3 linked regions of the Macaca fascicularis genome follow. The protein of the gene in region 3 interacts with the protein of the main gene of each other region in a pairwise test. Links are inferred from orthologs where the notes say so. Each region holds a gene or a part of one and is shown on either strand. Other genes may lie near its edges.

Region 1 (4,341 bases), on a different chromosome or scaffold from region 3:
CAGTGATGACTGCTGGAAACATTTTGTTCTGAATCTTTCTTTCATACACAGTTTTATGAATACTGAGAACAAAATGTACTTTTTGAGTATTTTTGGAGACAGAGTTTCGCTCTGTCGCCCAGGCTGGAGTGCTGTGGCGCAATCTCGGCTCACTGCAGCCTTGACTTCCCAGGCCTAAGCAATTCTCCCACTTTAGCCTCCCAAGTAGCTGGGACTACAGGCGCATGCCACTTGGCTTGGCTGATTTTTTGATTTTTTGTAGAGATGGCATTTTGACATGTTATCCAGGCTTATCTCAAACTCCTGGCCTCAGTTGAACTGCACACCTCCAGAGTGCTGGGATGACAGATGTGAGCCGCCACACCCGGCCCGAATGTACTTTTTCAGCCTGATTTTCCCTCTGAGTGTCTTGGCATCTCACCTCCTGACATCTGTGTTGGGCTGGCTCTGGAGCTCCACACCGGCACCATTTCTTCCCAGTCTTTTGCTTCTGTTGGCATTGGGAGTTGCCCTGCCTCATTTCTTTCTTTTTTTTTTTTTTGGAGACGGAGTCTCACCCTGTCGCCCAGGCTAGAGTGCAGTGGCACGATCTCAGCTCACTCTAACCTCCGTCTCCCGGGTTCAAGTGATTCTCCTGCCTCAGCCTTCTGACTAGCTGGGACTAAGGCGCTCGCCACCATGCCCAGCTAATTTTTGCAGTTTTAGTAGAGATTGGGTTTCACCATGTTGGCCAGGCTGGTCTCGAACTCCTCACCTTGTTCCGCCCGCCTCAGCCTCCCAAAGTGCTGGGATTACAGGCATGAGCCACCACATCCAGCCGCCCCACCTCATTTCTGATGCCTTTGGGCAAAGTGCCCATTCTCGCTAGGTTCCTTATACTGTGGGGAAGTTCTGAGACGTCTCCCCTCTGAAAGTCACACATTCTTAAAGTTGGGCCTGCTTTTTGTCTCTCAGTGTGCTGCTCTGCAGCTAAGGAAGCAAGTACGGAGCAACAGAGAGACTTGTCTGTGGTCAGTTGTAGAGCCAATTAGAGAAACTGCTGAGTTTCCTCTTGAATTGGAATTTTTGACTAGGCTGCTTGGGTCAGTCACAGGCTGGCTCTGGGCTGATGGCCACTCTCAGAGGCAAACGACAGGGTTTCGGGGAGGAGCCCCAAGCTCGGCATGTGGAAAGGGGTGGCCTTGCTGATGGAGCCAGACCCTTGCTTTCCAGAGTTGCAAGCACTACGGGTGGGGGGTCCCTTTGTTCTGCTGGCTGACCCCCAGCTGCCACCAGAGCCCAGTCTGCAGTTCCATCAACATCTTCTTTCCAAAGCCAGCAGATCATTTGGTTTCTGTAATAATAAGGTCCCCAGAAGTGGCCAGTTGTGTGCATTTGTACACAGAGGATCTCTCGGTGTGTGTTTTTTGACCTCTGCTTGATGGTGTGGCCGAAAATCCTTCTCTGTTCCCTGGAAGCGCTGAGGAAACGCAGCCAGAGTGGCCCCCAGCAGAGCATCCGAGAGGGACAGGGTGGGAGGGGAAGGTGGGAGTAACTTGGACTTGTCTCCACGTAACTCCTGTTCATTACCCTGGGTGGCCTTCTGAGTGGGGGGTGTCCTTGCCTCCCCCTGGAGCATTTCTCAGTGTCTGCTGATGGAGAAACCTCAGAGGTCTCAGGAATTGACATCCATGGTTCACAAAGCTTGTCACAGACACTAGCACCTCACAGACACACATACAGGGGTGTTCTTTAGAAGTTGTGTTATGGAAATCTCAGCTGTGGCATAGAGCAGAGAGAATGCTGGGAGGCCCTCATGAGTCCATCACCCAGCTGTAGCTGTTGTCAACATTTGAGGGGTGTCTTAACGGTAAATTATGGTGGGCCTTTACCCCGATCCATGCCCATGAGCTGAAGTGGTCTGGCGTGTTGTACACACGCATACTTAAGTTCTTGACACCAACCTGTGTTTTGTGTCCCTGTTTCAGGTGGAGGTGGAGGAAGCGTCCCTGGGATCGAGAGGATGGGTCCTGGCATTGACCGCCTCGGGGGTGCCGGCATGGAGCGCATGGGCGCAGGCCTGGGCCACGGCATGGATCGCGTGGGCTCCGAGATCGAGCGCATGGGCCTGGTCATGGACCGCATGGGCTCCGTGGAGCGCATGGGCTCCGGCATTGAGCGCATGGGCCCGCTGGGCCTTGACCACATGGCGTCTAGCATCGAGCGCATGGGCCAGACGATGGAGCGCATAGGCTCAGGCGTGGAGCGCATGGGTGCCGGCATGGGCTTCGGCCTTGAGCGCATGGCCGCTCCCATCGACCGTGTGGGCCAGACCATTGAGCGCATGGGCTCTGGCGTGGAGCGCATGGGCCCTGCCATTGAGCGCATGGGCCTGAGCATGGAGCGCATGGTGCCCGCAGGTATGGGGGCTGGCCTGGAGCGCATGGGCCCCGTGATGGATCGCATGGCCACCGGCCTGGAGCGCATGGGCGCCAACAACCTGGAGCGGATGGGCCTGGAGCGCATGGGCGCCAACAGCCTCGAGCGCATGGGCCTGGAGCGCATGGGTGCCAACAGCCTCGAGCGCATGGGCCCCGCCATGGGCCCGGCCCTGGGCGCTGGCATTGAGCGCATGGGCCTGGCCATGGGTGGCGGTGGCGGTGCCAGCTTTGACCGTGCCATCGAGATGGAGCGTGGCAACTTTGGAGGAAGTTTCGCAGGCTCCTTTGGTGGAGCTGGAGGCCATGCTCCTGGGGTGGCCAGGAAGGCCTGCCAGATATTTGTGAGAAATGTAAGTGGCTCTTGGGGAACTTCTTGGTGGTGGTGAGCATGAGGGGACAGGGGAGACAAAGATCAGCAGGATGAAGTCAGAGGTGGCGCCCTCCAAAGAGGACCACATCTCCTTGCTCCTGTCCCAAACGTTTTATGCTAGTGGGACAAGTAAGGAATGTGAGAACTGTGGGTTCTGGAAGAGCCTGGGCTTCTCCACTGCGCTAGAATATGGAGCAGACTCTGAGCTCAGAGACTGCAGTTTCTGATTGCTTGGCTTGAAGAGGCACTGTGTCTTGCACAGTGATCCAGGGAAAGAAGTGGCTGTAACGGAATTATTTTCCCCAGCTCAGCCACTCTTAGCCACTATTTAGTGACTGTGGGCTGCGCACCACAGGCCCAAGCGTCCCATCCTGCACAGTGCTCCCACAGTCTGAGCCCCAGGGAGGGAGCTGGCTGTGCCACTTCACAGCCTTGTCCCACGTGGACCTATTAGTTCCCTGCTGATCGCCTCAGTCTGAAGAGCAGCCAGCTTCTTGGTATAGTAAGAAATCTAGTGTAGCCCTCAGAGTCAGCTGCAAGGCGTGCCTTAGGATTTGGTTTAATCACACATCAGTCTCCCTTTTTTCCTTCCTCCTTAGCTCCCATTCGATTTCACATGGAAGATGCTGAAGGACAAATTCAACGAGTGTGGTAAGTGTTGGGAACGGCTTTCTAGGTGCCTCCCTCATGCTTACTGGTGATGCAGCCAAGTCAGCAGCAAAGCCTCCCTCCCAGCCCCCTCCATCAGCTCAGGACCCATGGCCTTGCCATTGTTCTGCCCACGCCAGTGCTCAGGCAGGTTGTTGAGTGTCCTGTGATGTGTCGCACGTTTTTCACCTGTGTTCTCATTTCATCCTAATTTCCTTTTTTCTTCCTTTTTGAGGCTTTTGAAACAAGGTAGTAGTGTCCCCATTTCACAGATGACTCAGTCTTCTCAGGTCACCTGGCTTCTAGGTGGCAACGCTAAATAAAAACATCCCAGACGAGGGAGGTAGCTTTCCCCTTAGCACAGCTGGTTCAGGGCCTCGGAGAGAACACCTAGCCCAGCAGGTGCCATGGGGAGGCGCTGCAGGCTCTGGGCACACAGCAGCTCCTGTGAGGATGAGGCTAAGGTCTCCTGGTTTCCTGGCACATCCTGCTACTCTTCTGGAGGGCTCCTTCTGTGGCTGAAAGCAAGTTGTCTTCCTTCCCTGCCCTCCAGGGTGAGCCTCCACCCCTCATGCACCACCTCTGTTCTTTTTAGCTAGAGGGGCCTGAGCTAGAGGACCGGGCGGCTGCTTCCGCACTGCCCTCCCGCTTCCTGTTTCAGCAGTGGCTCTGATTTCACCACCATTGCTGCTTCTCCATGGTTCTTGGGGCAAGCCGTTGAGTCATGACGTGCCTCTTTGCCCCGTTCTTTACCTCTTTCCCCACTCCTGAGTTTCCACGTTGTAGCTAGATATTCTGAAAAGGCCAGTGGGATCACAGCATCCCCAACCCCCACTTTTGCAATGCCTGGAGGGGCCCTGTACCTTCAAGAGGAAGTCCAGACTCACAAGCCTCTTGAAGATT
Region 2 (5,099 bases), on a different chromosome or scaffold from region 3:
TTTTTTAGCCTGATGTTCAACCCTTTTGTACCAAAGGAATAAAAAATAGGTAACCTGATACTTGTCCTCCTGTCAGGGAATTTTCTATCCTTAGCAAAGATGAAGGCAAAATAATGATGAATTTGATCATCTTTTTCTAAAAGCCATGACAGACCATTACCCTTATGTTTACATTTGCCCTTCAACACTGCCATCCACTACAAATTATTTCCCTAGTGTTATAATTTCTACCTTCATTATTTTACAAGTGTTTATTGTTTAGACTGTATGCTTTTTAATAATATATGGGAAAACATTATTTTCATTAGTAAGATGACTCCAAATTATAGAGAGGATGAGTAGCTTTTGAATTTTCCTGCAGGCAGAATATAAATTCTTGATACACTTCAATTCTGAGATCAAATTATTTGTATATCTTCCCCAATCAAGGTGTTCCATTCACTTTTGATGTTTTATCACCATCACTTCTTATCTGAGATCTTATGGCTCATTTTGAGGCTCTTAGCCATCCATTATCCTCTATTTTCTCAAATGCATATTCAAATTAGGTAAAAGGAAACAAGCGTAAATTTTTAAAAGATCGTTTAAAATGGTTTTCAGACTTTGTAATTCCTGTTGCCTTTTAATATATAAGGGAATGTATCCTTATAAAGAACATTTCAATGATCAATGCAGAAATAACATATTTGTCTTTAAAAAAAAAAAAGGAAACTTTCAAGAAAGGGACAATGAATCAGGTAGTTCATTATTTGGAGAATAGAGACATAAACATCACATGGAAAATTTAGGCATTCAGACCTGAATTAAGTTTAAAATTTCAGTTTCTAGGCAGGTACGACACCATTTCTTCAAGATAAAATCATAATGGTGAGTGAAGATTTTTACATTTCCCAGTGGATTTTCTGACAGTCAATAGGGAAAAAACTATTCTGCATCATTTCATATTTTAAATTTTGTCTTCATTTCTGAAGAAAAAGACCTGAGTGCTGATTTTTTTTTTCAATTTCTTAAACTTTCACAACATTCAGAAGTTTTTCTGCATTGTGTCTTCTCTGATGTCTAAAAAGATTTGAGCTTTGACTATACGATTTCCCACACTGAACGCATTCATAAGGTTTCTCCCCAGTATGGATTCTCTGATGATTAATAAGCCCCGAATTCTGGCTAAAGGCTTTCCCACATTCAAGACATTTGTAAGGTTTTTCTCCAGTGTGGACTCTCTGGTGTTGCACAAGAATGGAACTTCGGCTGAATGCTTTCCCACACTCAACACATCCATAAGGTTTCTCCCCACTGTGAATTCTTTGATGAAGAATAAGGGCTGAGCCCTGACTGAAGTGTTTTCCACATTCATCGCATATATGTTGTTTCTTTCGAGAGGGATTTCTCTTTCTTTCAAATCTGCCCTTGGGGAAACAGGTTTCTCCATATTTAAAAATCTGAGGAACACTCATATTGAGAGTACCAGGAACTTCATGGGATTCTACTGCTGAAGGAAGCTCCTGCTTTGGAGCTAGTGCTCCATTTTCAGTCCTACCATCATCATCTGAAAAAAACAGAAAATGTAAATATCATTCATTATCTATTAAGGGAAAAAGAAACCGAAAAAAAATTTTTTTAATGAATTAAATAGCTTGCACACATCTATAAACCACTCTGAAACGGTGTTAAGGCCTGTTCTCAAAAAAGAAAAAATGAAATTACTCTGAAATAACAGTATAACATCATGATATAAGAGATCTCTGAATAAAACATAGGCAAGTGGTTTATAAACGGTAGTCAGAAAACAAAGGGCAGAAAGAAGGTAGATTCTAAGATGGTTAGGGAGATAGTCAAAGTTATGTGGCTAGGTATGGATGAAACGTTGTAAGAATAAAAACAAAATAAAATTGGCCACTAGGAAATCATTATAATGTTCTTTTGCTTTGAGAAAGGGAGACATCAAAATACAAAGACATAAATTTTAAAAACCTATCAGAAAGTGGCTATTTCTGAAATGAACAAGACAAGTCAGGTCACAGCCAATGTTAGGCTAAAAGCAGAACACAGGAGTCTTGACAAGAAGGGGCTGAAGATAAGCTGGGGGCATCCTGTGTTAACCAAACACATGACATAAAAATTCAGTATGCCCCTAATAAATGAAAGTTTTCCAATAAAAGAAGCTTGCCCCATGTGATATTTGTCATGGTACTTAGAAAAATGGTTATTTCTAAGCCAGTGAAACGTGTCCAATGAAAGAAAAGCCTGAATTACCAACAGGTAGTAGCATCACTCACATGCAGGCAGAGATAACGGCAAGTGTCATTTAAGACTCTTCTGAAACTTCATGCCTTAAGGAGTAAAGATACAGTTAATCTAGGGTTAGCAACTGCCTTCAGTGAAGAGGGAAATAGTAAATAATTAACAAAAAGATAAAGTCAGGAGATAAGGCTAAGAGAGAGAGACTGAAAGGTTAGAGGACAGTGAGGTTTGGAGACTTGAAAAACAGAGGAGTGAGTTTGAAGATTAAGTGGAGACAAACGGCACACAGGAAACAGAAATTCCCAAGTGTGGAAGAGACTAGACAGCTGAAATAAGGCTATTTAAACATAGGTGAAAAGTCACTCTAAAATTCAGATGATGAGAAGTTGAAAATATCAACCCCATATATCAAGAATGATGCTTCTCAAACTTTACTGCACAGAAGAATGTCCCATGAAACATGTAAAACTGCAGATTTTCAGCAGACTTCAGCCCCACCCCAAAACTTCTGATTGGCTGGCACTGTCCCCTCAGATGTGAAGAAAACCTGCTCAGACCTCATTCAGTGACATATAAGCACCATCTCCAACTACCTCAAGGAATGGTTACTAAAGCAGAGTCAAACAAAATTTCATTTTAGTTCACATAAACATGAGAAAGCAATCTAGCAGTTTTAGGAATATACTGGGCCATATCAAAGGATACACATAAGTATATGGTGTTAATGACCAATATATTGGGAAAGACCAGTCTCGTGAATTAATACAACTTTGAGCTTTTAGAAAAGCTTTTTCTGCATTTAAAGCATGTTATAGCTAAGAAGGCTTTTTTGCGTAAATACTTAGAAAAAGGAAAAAAATCACTCCGAATATAATTTCTACAAAAGAAGCTTCTTAGAAGAAAATGACTCTAGGTAGATGCTGAAGAAAATCAGAAATAAATATTTGGAAAGACTTCAGTGATATACAACAGAGAGATGAGAAAAGGTTTTCAGGTAAGCTTACTGTACCAATGGAATTAGGCAGGAGATTGAAAGTAAAAGGATGGAAAATGGATGACAAGTAATACTGAATGTAAAATAGAGGGACTTGGTCCACGGGTGGGTGCTGGCTCAAAGTAAGGCAAATGCTAGCCTGACATGGGCAACTCTTTTTAGGAAGGAAACTCAAAGGGAAGAAAAGGCTGAAGATGTTAATGTGTAGGAATAAAAGATCTGAGGCCAGCAAAATCAACTTAATCAGAAAAAAACTGAGATCTTAGATTAAGAGTGATATGATCCCCCCAACCAGTGAGAACAAGCAAAGTTCGGAACAAACGGCCTACGCTCTCTTTCACCCTCTAGTCCACACAGAGTTCTGGTCCTCACCACAGTGCCTTAGGGAATGGAGCTCCCAGGATGCCCACTTGAGCTGGTTCTCCACAGCATCAAGCTCAGAACTTGGTAATCCCTGAGCTGCTTCTTGAGATACCATGTCTTCTACTAGTACTTCCCGTTTTCGTCGACGGAGAGAAACCTGGAAACAGAAAGATGTGATTCAGAGAAGGAACTGTAATGAGAATCAGAACTAAAAACATGTAAGAGAAACCCCATAAAACAAATATTGCAGAAGCCTAGATGGCAAAGAAGCACAGATAACAGGGAGTGGTAGGGGCATGGGGGAAAAGGTATAAACCTAATTCTAATTTAGTTGAGTGGAATTAATTCAGCAGCTTTGCCTACTACTATGCCAGTGCTTCTGACCCAGGAAATGACACAAGCAGGCTCACCGGTTGTCCAGGGTCATCAAGTTCACTCTCCAAATCCTCCAGCACTGTCACTGCCTCCTCTCCATTCTCTGGATGATGATCTCGAACCCAAGTCTGTAGCTCTTTGGGTAGGATGGCAACAAACTGCTCCAGCACTACCAGTTCCAAGATTTGCTCTTTTGTGTGCGTCTCTGGCCTGAGCCACAGACGGCAAAGTTCTCGGAGCTGGCTCACAGCCTCACGGGGCCCAGGTGAATCCTGGTATCCAAACTGCCTGAATCGCTGTCGGAAAATCTCTGGGTCTGGGAGATGGTTCCAGGGGATACTTGATCCCTCTTCGCCATCAGGATCCTCCTCCAACTTCACTCTCAGAATTTTTTCCTCTTCATCTGGAGTTGGGATGATAAGTATTGAATCTTCTTCCACTGACTGTGCAGACATTCTGATTTATAATATTTCAAGAAAATACAACTGAGGCAGAATATAAGCCTCAGGGCAATACCCCGTTTTCTTCACAGGCACTCCTGAGGCACAAGAAATAAAAGATATATAAATAAGCAAAAATATCCTAAGAATTTGGACTTACACTGGTAAAAGTAAAAGATACTTGTTCTTTGATGGAGTTAAAAATTCCAGTCAATAACCTACACTAGGAATTGGCAAACTACAGCTTCGCGGCCAAATCTAGCCTGTCACCCATTGCTGTACAACTCTTGCACCAATAATAATTTTCACATTTTTAAATGGCTGTGGTCTTCACCACAGTGCCTTAGGGAATGGAGCTCTCTAAAATCAAATGAATACCTAATGATATTTAGGGAATGGAGCTCCCCAAAGTCAAATGAATACCTCATGACAAGTGAAAATGATACGAAATTAACATGAATGTGTCCATAAAAAATTGTACTTACTCATACTTCACGCTACAATAGCAGAGTTGAGTAGTTTCAACAGACTAGATGGCCTAAAAAAAACCCAACACAGTCATGCACTACAAAATGATGTTTGGAGGCCGGGCGCGGTGGCTCAAGCCTGTAATCCCAGCACTTTGAGAGGCCGAGACGGGCGGATCACAAGGTCAGGAGATCGAGGCCATCCTGGCTAACACGGTG
Region 3 (5,867 bases):
TCCACGTCTCCTATTTCTAACTAGTATTAACTTACCAGGTGACCTTGTGTCCTAATTGGTCTGAGCCCACAAAGCCCAGCAGTCATTATACTTGGGGACAGGAGGCTAGGTGGCTCAATGTCTATAACACTCTTGACAACTTCAGAGGATTCTGTCATGTGAAGAATGAAGCCTTTCTTGTGAATATTTAGGAGTGTTAAAGCCATGCCCACACTTTCTAGATACAGTGTAATAGCACTTCATGAGATTATCATCTTTGGAACAAGAAAATGTGAAGTTCAAGTTAGTTTATCTGGGAAAAAAAAAAAATGGCCAGGCACAGTGGCTCACGTTTGTAATCCCAGCACTTTGGGAGGCCAAGGCAGGAGGATCACTTGAGCCCAGGAGTTTGAGGCCAGCCCGGGCAACATGGCAAAATCCTGTCTCTACAAAAAATATAAAAAATTGCCCAGGCTTGGTGGCATGAGCCTGTAGTCCCAGCTACCCAGGAGGCTGAGGTGGGAGGATCACCTCAGTACAGGAAGTTGAGGCTGCAGTGAGCACTGCACTCTAGCCTAGACAACACAGTGAGACCCTAGCTCAAAAAAATCAAAACTATAGTTTCTTTTTTTTTTTTTTTTTTTTGAGACAGAGTCTTGCTACAAATTTGTAGCCCAGGCTGGAGTGCAGTGGCACGATCTCGGCTCACTGCAAGCTCCACCTCCTGGGTTCGCGCCATTCTCCTGCCTCAGCCTCCCAAGTAGCTGGGATTACAGGCATCCGCCACCAGGCCCAGCTAATTTTTTGTATTTTTAGTAGAGACAGGGTTTCATTCACTGAAGCCTTGCTTTCTTTCCTTTGTTTCTACAGATTGTATATAAGGACTGCCATTTTCCCTTCTAATAAGTAATACCCTAGCGTTTTTATGTGTATCAACTCGGAATTGCATCTCTTCTCTTTCCACAGCCCATGGTCTTACTCTGGGCTTTCAAAACCACTCATGGGACCTCGACAGACATTGGATGTCCCGATGCAGATGCTGCCAAAGGACTGTGAAAGAGGATAATTTGCCCTTAGCTGGTGCAAAACTGCCTGGAATTCAAATGAACTGCTCTTGTTACTCACAGGGGAGGCAGTGGGGGCCACCAGTGGCATAGCAAGGGAATCTCTGTGTTCATGAATTCTGGCTGGCTTTCTGTCCAAATGTTTCATTTGCATATAGCTAGGCAAGTCTCCATCTGTAATTTGGAGATGCTGATTGTAATGACCCAAGTCGGCTTTGAGGAAGTACACAATGAAGCATCTAGTAGGATACTGGACAACAGGAGGAACGTAAAGTAAAAGAGTTATGGTGATGGCCTGAGATGAGATGGAGAAGTAAAGTATAAGATATTGGCTCTGTCTTTCTATAATTAATTGATAATATCACATTATACTTAGTGGGCAATCCAAGACAATGAATGAGGTTGATTCACCCTCAAATTAATATTTTATATTCTCCCAGACCCTTATCTTGAATATTACACCTGAGTATCACTTCAGCCTGGATTTCTGGGATAATCATAACAATTTCTAAGGGGGTGGAGAATGTGCTGCTGCAATTTCTCAACTAGCTTGTCCCTCTTTGATCAGAAACTATCTTCGCTGGGCAAATAGTGAAGTGAAGGAAGGAGCTGGTGAGCCTCCAGCAGTAGATACCTGCTGTGTTAGGAAGTTAGGATGTTTCAGTTTTCTAACCTCAGTGAAAAAGCACAAACTTTGAAAGACGCAAACTTCCTTCAGGGAAATGAAACCTTCAGATTTACCTTCTATTGAAAGGATTAGTGACTAAATTCTGCTGATCAAAAAGGCATGAGGCACCAATTCATCCAATTCACTCCCTTATTGTGTTACTATGATCTTGCCCAGTCTCTGAAACTCAAAGCTCAGTTGTAATTTTAAGTTTATTTTTAAAAAAGTGATCAAACCACCCTTTAAACCCATTGTTGACATAAACATACTTTTAAAAAGAAATGTTATTTTTCTCCTGAGAATTTGTTGAAGGAAGTGGGGGTTTTTGCTACAACAAACCTAGCTCATTACAGAACTGGTGTCTTAACCTTCAAGACGGAATAGTGATGTTTATATTCTCATTGGATGGTGGTACTTCCTGTGTTTTATGAGAACATGCTGAGCTTTTATGCTGCTAACTGAGGGTAAAACCCAGGTAAATAAACACCATAGAAAGCCGAAATTGAAGGGTGTATGTGTGTGTGTGTGCGGTATTTCAAGCAGGAAAGCACAATTCTTTTAAACCAGGAAAAGAAAAAACAAAACAAATGTCTCTTAAAAGCACAAATGGACAAGTCATTAACCAGCTCCTTTGGTCTTGTGTAACAAATCCCTTCAAAGGATTAGAGGGGGACTTCAAAGGAATAAAAATTCTCAAAACCAGACAGCTAATGACTCTTAAAAGGGCATTTGCGTTGACAGGAAAATGATATCTTAAACACCCCTTGCTACCCATGTTAACACTAAAGAATTGGTGAGAGATAGAAAAACATTCCAAACCAGTACGAGGCTCAGAAAACAGATGCGGTCAATGCTCATTAGAGCTCTGGTTCCCTGACCCCAAACGCTTTTGAGACTATGCTAAAAACTACGAGACTCTACTCCCTAGAAGAATTCACCTGTACACAAAATGGTGCATTAACTTTCGAGGTTCACAGGCCCCCATCGGTGGACCCCGAGGAGGGCTACACGTACTCAGATTTACTCCGGATTTCGCTGCTCTAGAAATCCCCGGAGGCCCAGAGCCAGCTCCGAGGTGGACCGTCGGACCCCTCACCCGCCCGTTACCCGCGCGGCTGGCAGCGGCTCCACCTGCGGACCGGGGAGGCGGCCGCTGGGGACCCTGGAGGCCTCCACTTGGAATGTTCCCCTTTCCAAGACCAAATGGACAAAGAGAAAGGGCCGAGAAGGAGAGGTGAGAAGGGAGCCGAGTCAAGCATGGAACGCTCTCCGGACTGCACCTGCACGCCGCCAGGCTCCCCTTGTGCCTGCTCCCGTGCAAACTTTCTGGCCCGCGGTGGCTTTAGGCAGCGTCCTGATAGCCTGGAGTGGCCCGCAGAGGCGCCGAGCCGACCCCTCTCCCTGCCGCCCACCGCCCAGTCCCTCTCCCAGCGCCCCCGAAGTCACCCGGGAGGAAGAGGGAGCCCAGCGCTCCGCACAGGGGGCCAAGAGCACGCCGCAGGCGCGCACCTGGAGTCCCCTCGAGGGCCGCCCGGGTCCCCCAGCCGCTCCGGGACGCGAGGCCGTGGACACCGGGGGTGGCAGGGGCAGGGGCGCCGCACTTACTCTGAAGGGTCCAGGCTCTTCCTTTCGATGGCCGAGGACATTGGGGAGGGAGGCGGCGTGCCGGGCGGCAGGGGCGCTCCCTTTGTGGCGCGGGGCTGGCCGGCTGCCGGGGCTCGGACCCCCTCGGGTGCTCGGGCGCCGCCGCCGCCGCTCCTGCGCCTCCGCTTGCTCCGGCGCTCCGGCGGCGAGCTCGCCCCTCCGCGCTCAAGGACAGTCACCGCGCTCCCTTCAAATGCCAAAGAGAGAGAGCGAATCACCGGGCTGCGGGCGCGCCGCGGCCGAGGCGGGGGCCGGGGCGCGCAGCCTGGCCCTGGGCGGCTGCAGCTGCTGCTGCTGCTCAGGACTTAACCTTCCATCCCGGTCCCGCCGCCTCCGCCGCCCGGTCCCTCTCGCGCGCTGTCGCCGGCTCCGCGCCGCCCGCGGGGATGGTGCACGCCCGCCCGGCCGCCCCGAGCCCCTCGCACCTTCGGCCCGGGTAGCGGGCGCTGCTCGCCGCGGAGGGCAGAACGGGGGCGGCGGCCTGGGGGCGGGGAGGGGACTGTGCGTCTCTCCCCGGGCTTCCTCCTCTCTCGGGAAGGTCTATTTTCGCTCAGCTTCCCTCTGTCTCTGGTTTCATTTCCTTTTTCCTGATCACGATTCAAATACAATAGAAGGAAATCACATTTAAAGAGACAGCTGCCCGGTTCCCCCACCTCCCCTTTTTTCTTCTTCTTCTTCTTTTTTTTTTTTTTTTTTTTTTAACGGGGCTCCTGGGGATTAGCAATACAAACAGCAGCATCAGGACTGACTTGGCTTCTTAAAGGGGCCAGTGTCGGGGACGGGGAGATCCGCTCAGCTAACACCTCTCCTTGGAGAGGAGGCTGGGCAGCCACTAAATAATTCTTCAGGGCTTCCCCCCTTCAGCCTTTCCCTTTTGGTTTAACTAAGGCAGAAAGTAACCCACGAACAGCTCGAGCAAGCAAGAAAAAACAAGAATGTGAAATAAGCACCTACAGAAATGCAAGTGTTCCGAGTGGATTTTGAGCCCGTCCCAGGTTCGAGATCCCAGGTCCACGGACGCCGAGCACCGGGATGCCCCGGACAGCGCGGCTCTGCGGGCTACCGGCTGCGGGCTCCAGGCTGCGGCCGCGCTCTGCAGAGGCGATGGGGGTGCGCGAGCCGGGACTGCACGGGCTGGGGACGCCTGAGCAGAGTCAGGGCAGCTAATCCCAGAGGGAGGGTGGCTGGGAGGGACTTCGTGGGGCCAGGGCTCCTCTCAGTAGGCTGGTGTCGGAATCCCCTCCCTCAGCACCTTTCAGAGAGCGGACTCCTGCGGTTAAACTGCCCCCCATGTAAAGTGCCAGTAGTACCCCGACCAGAGAAAGTGTTTTTTCCAGTGATCCAGAACAGTATTAGGGAGATTATTTTGCCCTGGGTCAGGCACAGAGAAAGAAGGCGGACTTGATTTGGGGTTTCAGGCTTCCCCTCTCAGCCTCCTTCTAGAAAGAGGTAGGAACACAGAGGGTAAGAGAGGGGAGGCCAATAGTCTGCCCTTCCATGGAGAAAACGTTTGTCTCTCCTGGGCCTCAGAGGTCCTTGAAAATATCTGCGTTCAGAAACTGAAAGGCCTATTTGTGCGTGATGCCAGTCACTAAGGCTTGCAAAGAGGGAACGTACTTTCAGGATCCATAGTTTTATATGATCAGTCTGGATCATAGGCATACATTTTTGTTCCCATTTTCAAGATGGCACATGGGCCTGGATGAGCTCACCCTGAAAGATGGTAGTTGAAGTCAGAAGTGAATCCCTGAGTGCTTCATTTTCCCTGTTCAGAGCCAAAGCTTCATGACTTGTTACAAGTATAACCATAGTTTACTACTGCCTACATGCTTTCGTCATTTTCTGGTCCCTGTGTCCCAAGGCTTGGGTCCCTCATGGGTATAATCAAAAGCTGTGTGTGTGTGTGTGTGTGTGTGTGTGTGTGTGTGTGTGTGTGTGTGTGTGTGTGTATCTCAAAGAAAGCCTTAAGAGCAAATTTTTGTCCAAGTGGAGCCTTCAGTATACAAAAAGACTTTTTTACGGCTGTGCTTGGTGGCTCATGCCTGTAATCCCAGCACTCTGGGAGGCCCAGGCTAGCCTGAGCAACACAGTGAGCCCCCATTCCTACAAAAAAGAAAAAAGAAAAATAATTAGCTGGGTGTGGTGGTGCTTCCCTGAAATCCTAGCTACTCAGGAGGCAGAGGTGGGAGGATTGCTTGAGCCCAGGACGTTGAGGCTGCAGTGAGCCATGATCGCACCACTGCCCTCCAGTCTGGGGAACAGAGTGAGACCCTGTCTCAAAAAAAAAAAAAAAAAAAAAACCTTTTTTTTTTCCCAATAGACCCTTGTTTTTAATCTAAAAAATAAAATTCTTAGAATTTTAGGCAAGCCGAAACTATGTGATAAATATGTAACCTACCACACTACTTTCATTTCTAACAGAAATGAAAATAAACATACAGGTTGTGATGAACAGTTTACCTACTTTAACCAGTCAATGTGGTGGTTAAATGCTGGAATTTTGGAACCCAACT

What was found.
Region 1: the proteins of LMO2 (region 3) and HNRNPM interact in binary tests that used the Homo sapiens proteins (3 or more experiments, as listed by UniProt). The link is inferred for Macaca fascicularis from reciprocal best matches to the Homo sapiens genes LMO2 and HNRNPM.
Region 2: the proteins of LMO2 (region 3) and ZNF24 interact in binary tests that used the Homo sapiens proteins (3 or more experiments, as listed by UniProt). The two-hybrid records come from large-scale screens. The link is inferred for Macaca fascicularis from reciprocal best matches to the Homo sapiens genes LMO2 and ZNF24.

The regions. Positions count from the first base shown.
Region 1 is NC_088393.1:9,176,557-9,180,897, forward strand, and holds part of HNRNPM (heterogeneous nuclear ribonucleoprotein M), read left to right. Parts: intron 1-1,967; coding exon 1,968-2,770; intron 2,771-3,389; coding exon 3,390-3,441; intron 3,442-4,341. UniProt on the Homo sapiens protein: Pre-mRNA binding protein in vivo, binds avidly to poly(G) and poly(U) RNA homopolymers in vitro. Involved in splicing.
Region 2 is NC_088392.1:54,504,696-54,509,794, reverse strand, and holds part of ZNF24 (zinc finger protein 24), read right to left. Parts: exon of another isoform or gene 4,512-5,099; 5' UTR 4,429-4,511; coding exon 4,009-4,428; exon of another isoform or gene 3,756-4,008; coding exon 3,608-3,755; exon of another isoform or gene 3,584-3,607; intron 2,331-3,583; coding exon of another isoform or gene 2,302-2,330; exon of another isoform or gene 2,277-2,301; intron 1,547-2,276; coding exon 1,008-1,546; 3' UTR 1-1,007. UniProt on the Homo sapiens protein: Transcription factor required for myelination of differentiated oligodendrocytes. Required for the conversion of oligodendrocytes from the premyelinating to the myelinating state.
Region 3 is NC_088388.1:31,708,736-31,714,602, reverse strand, and holds the start of LMO2 (rhombotin-2), read right to left. Parts: upstream 3,824-5,867; 5' UTR 3,672-3,823; coding exon 3,665-3,671; intron 3,542-3,664; coding exon 3,316-3,541; intron 1-3,315. UniProt on the Homo sapiens protein: Acts with TAL1/SCL to regulate red blood cell development. Also acts with LDB1 to maintain erythroid precursors in an immature state.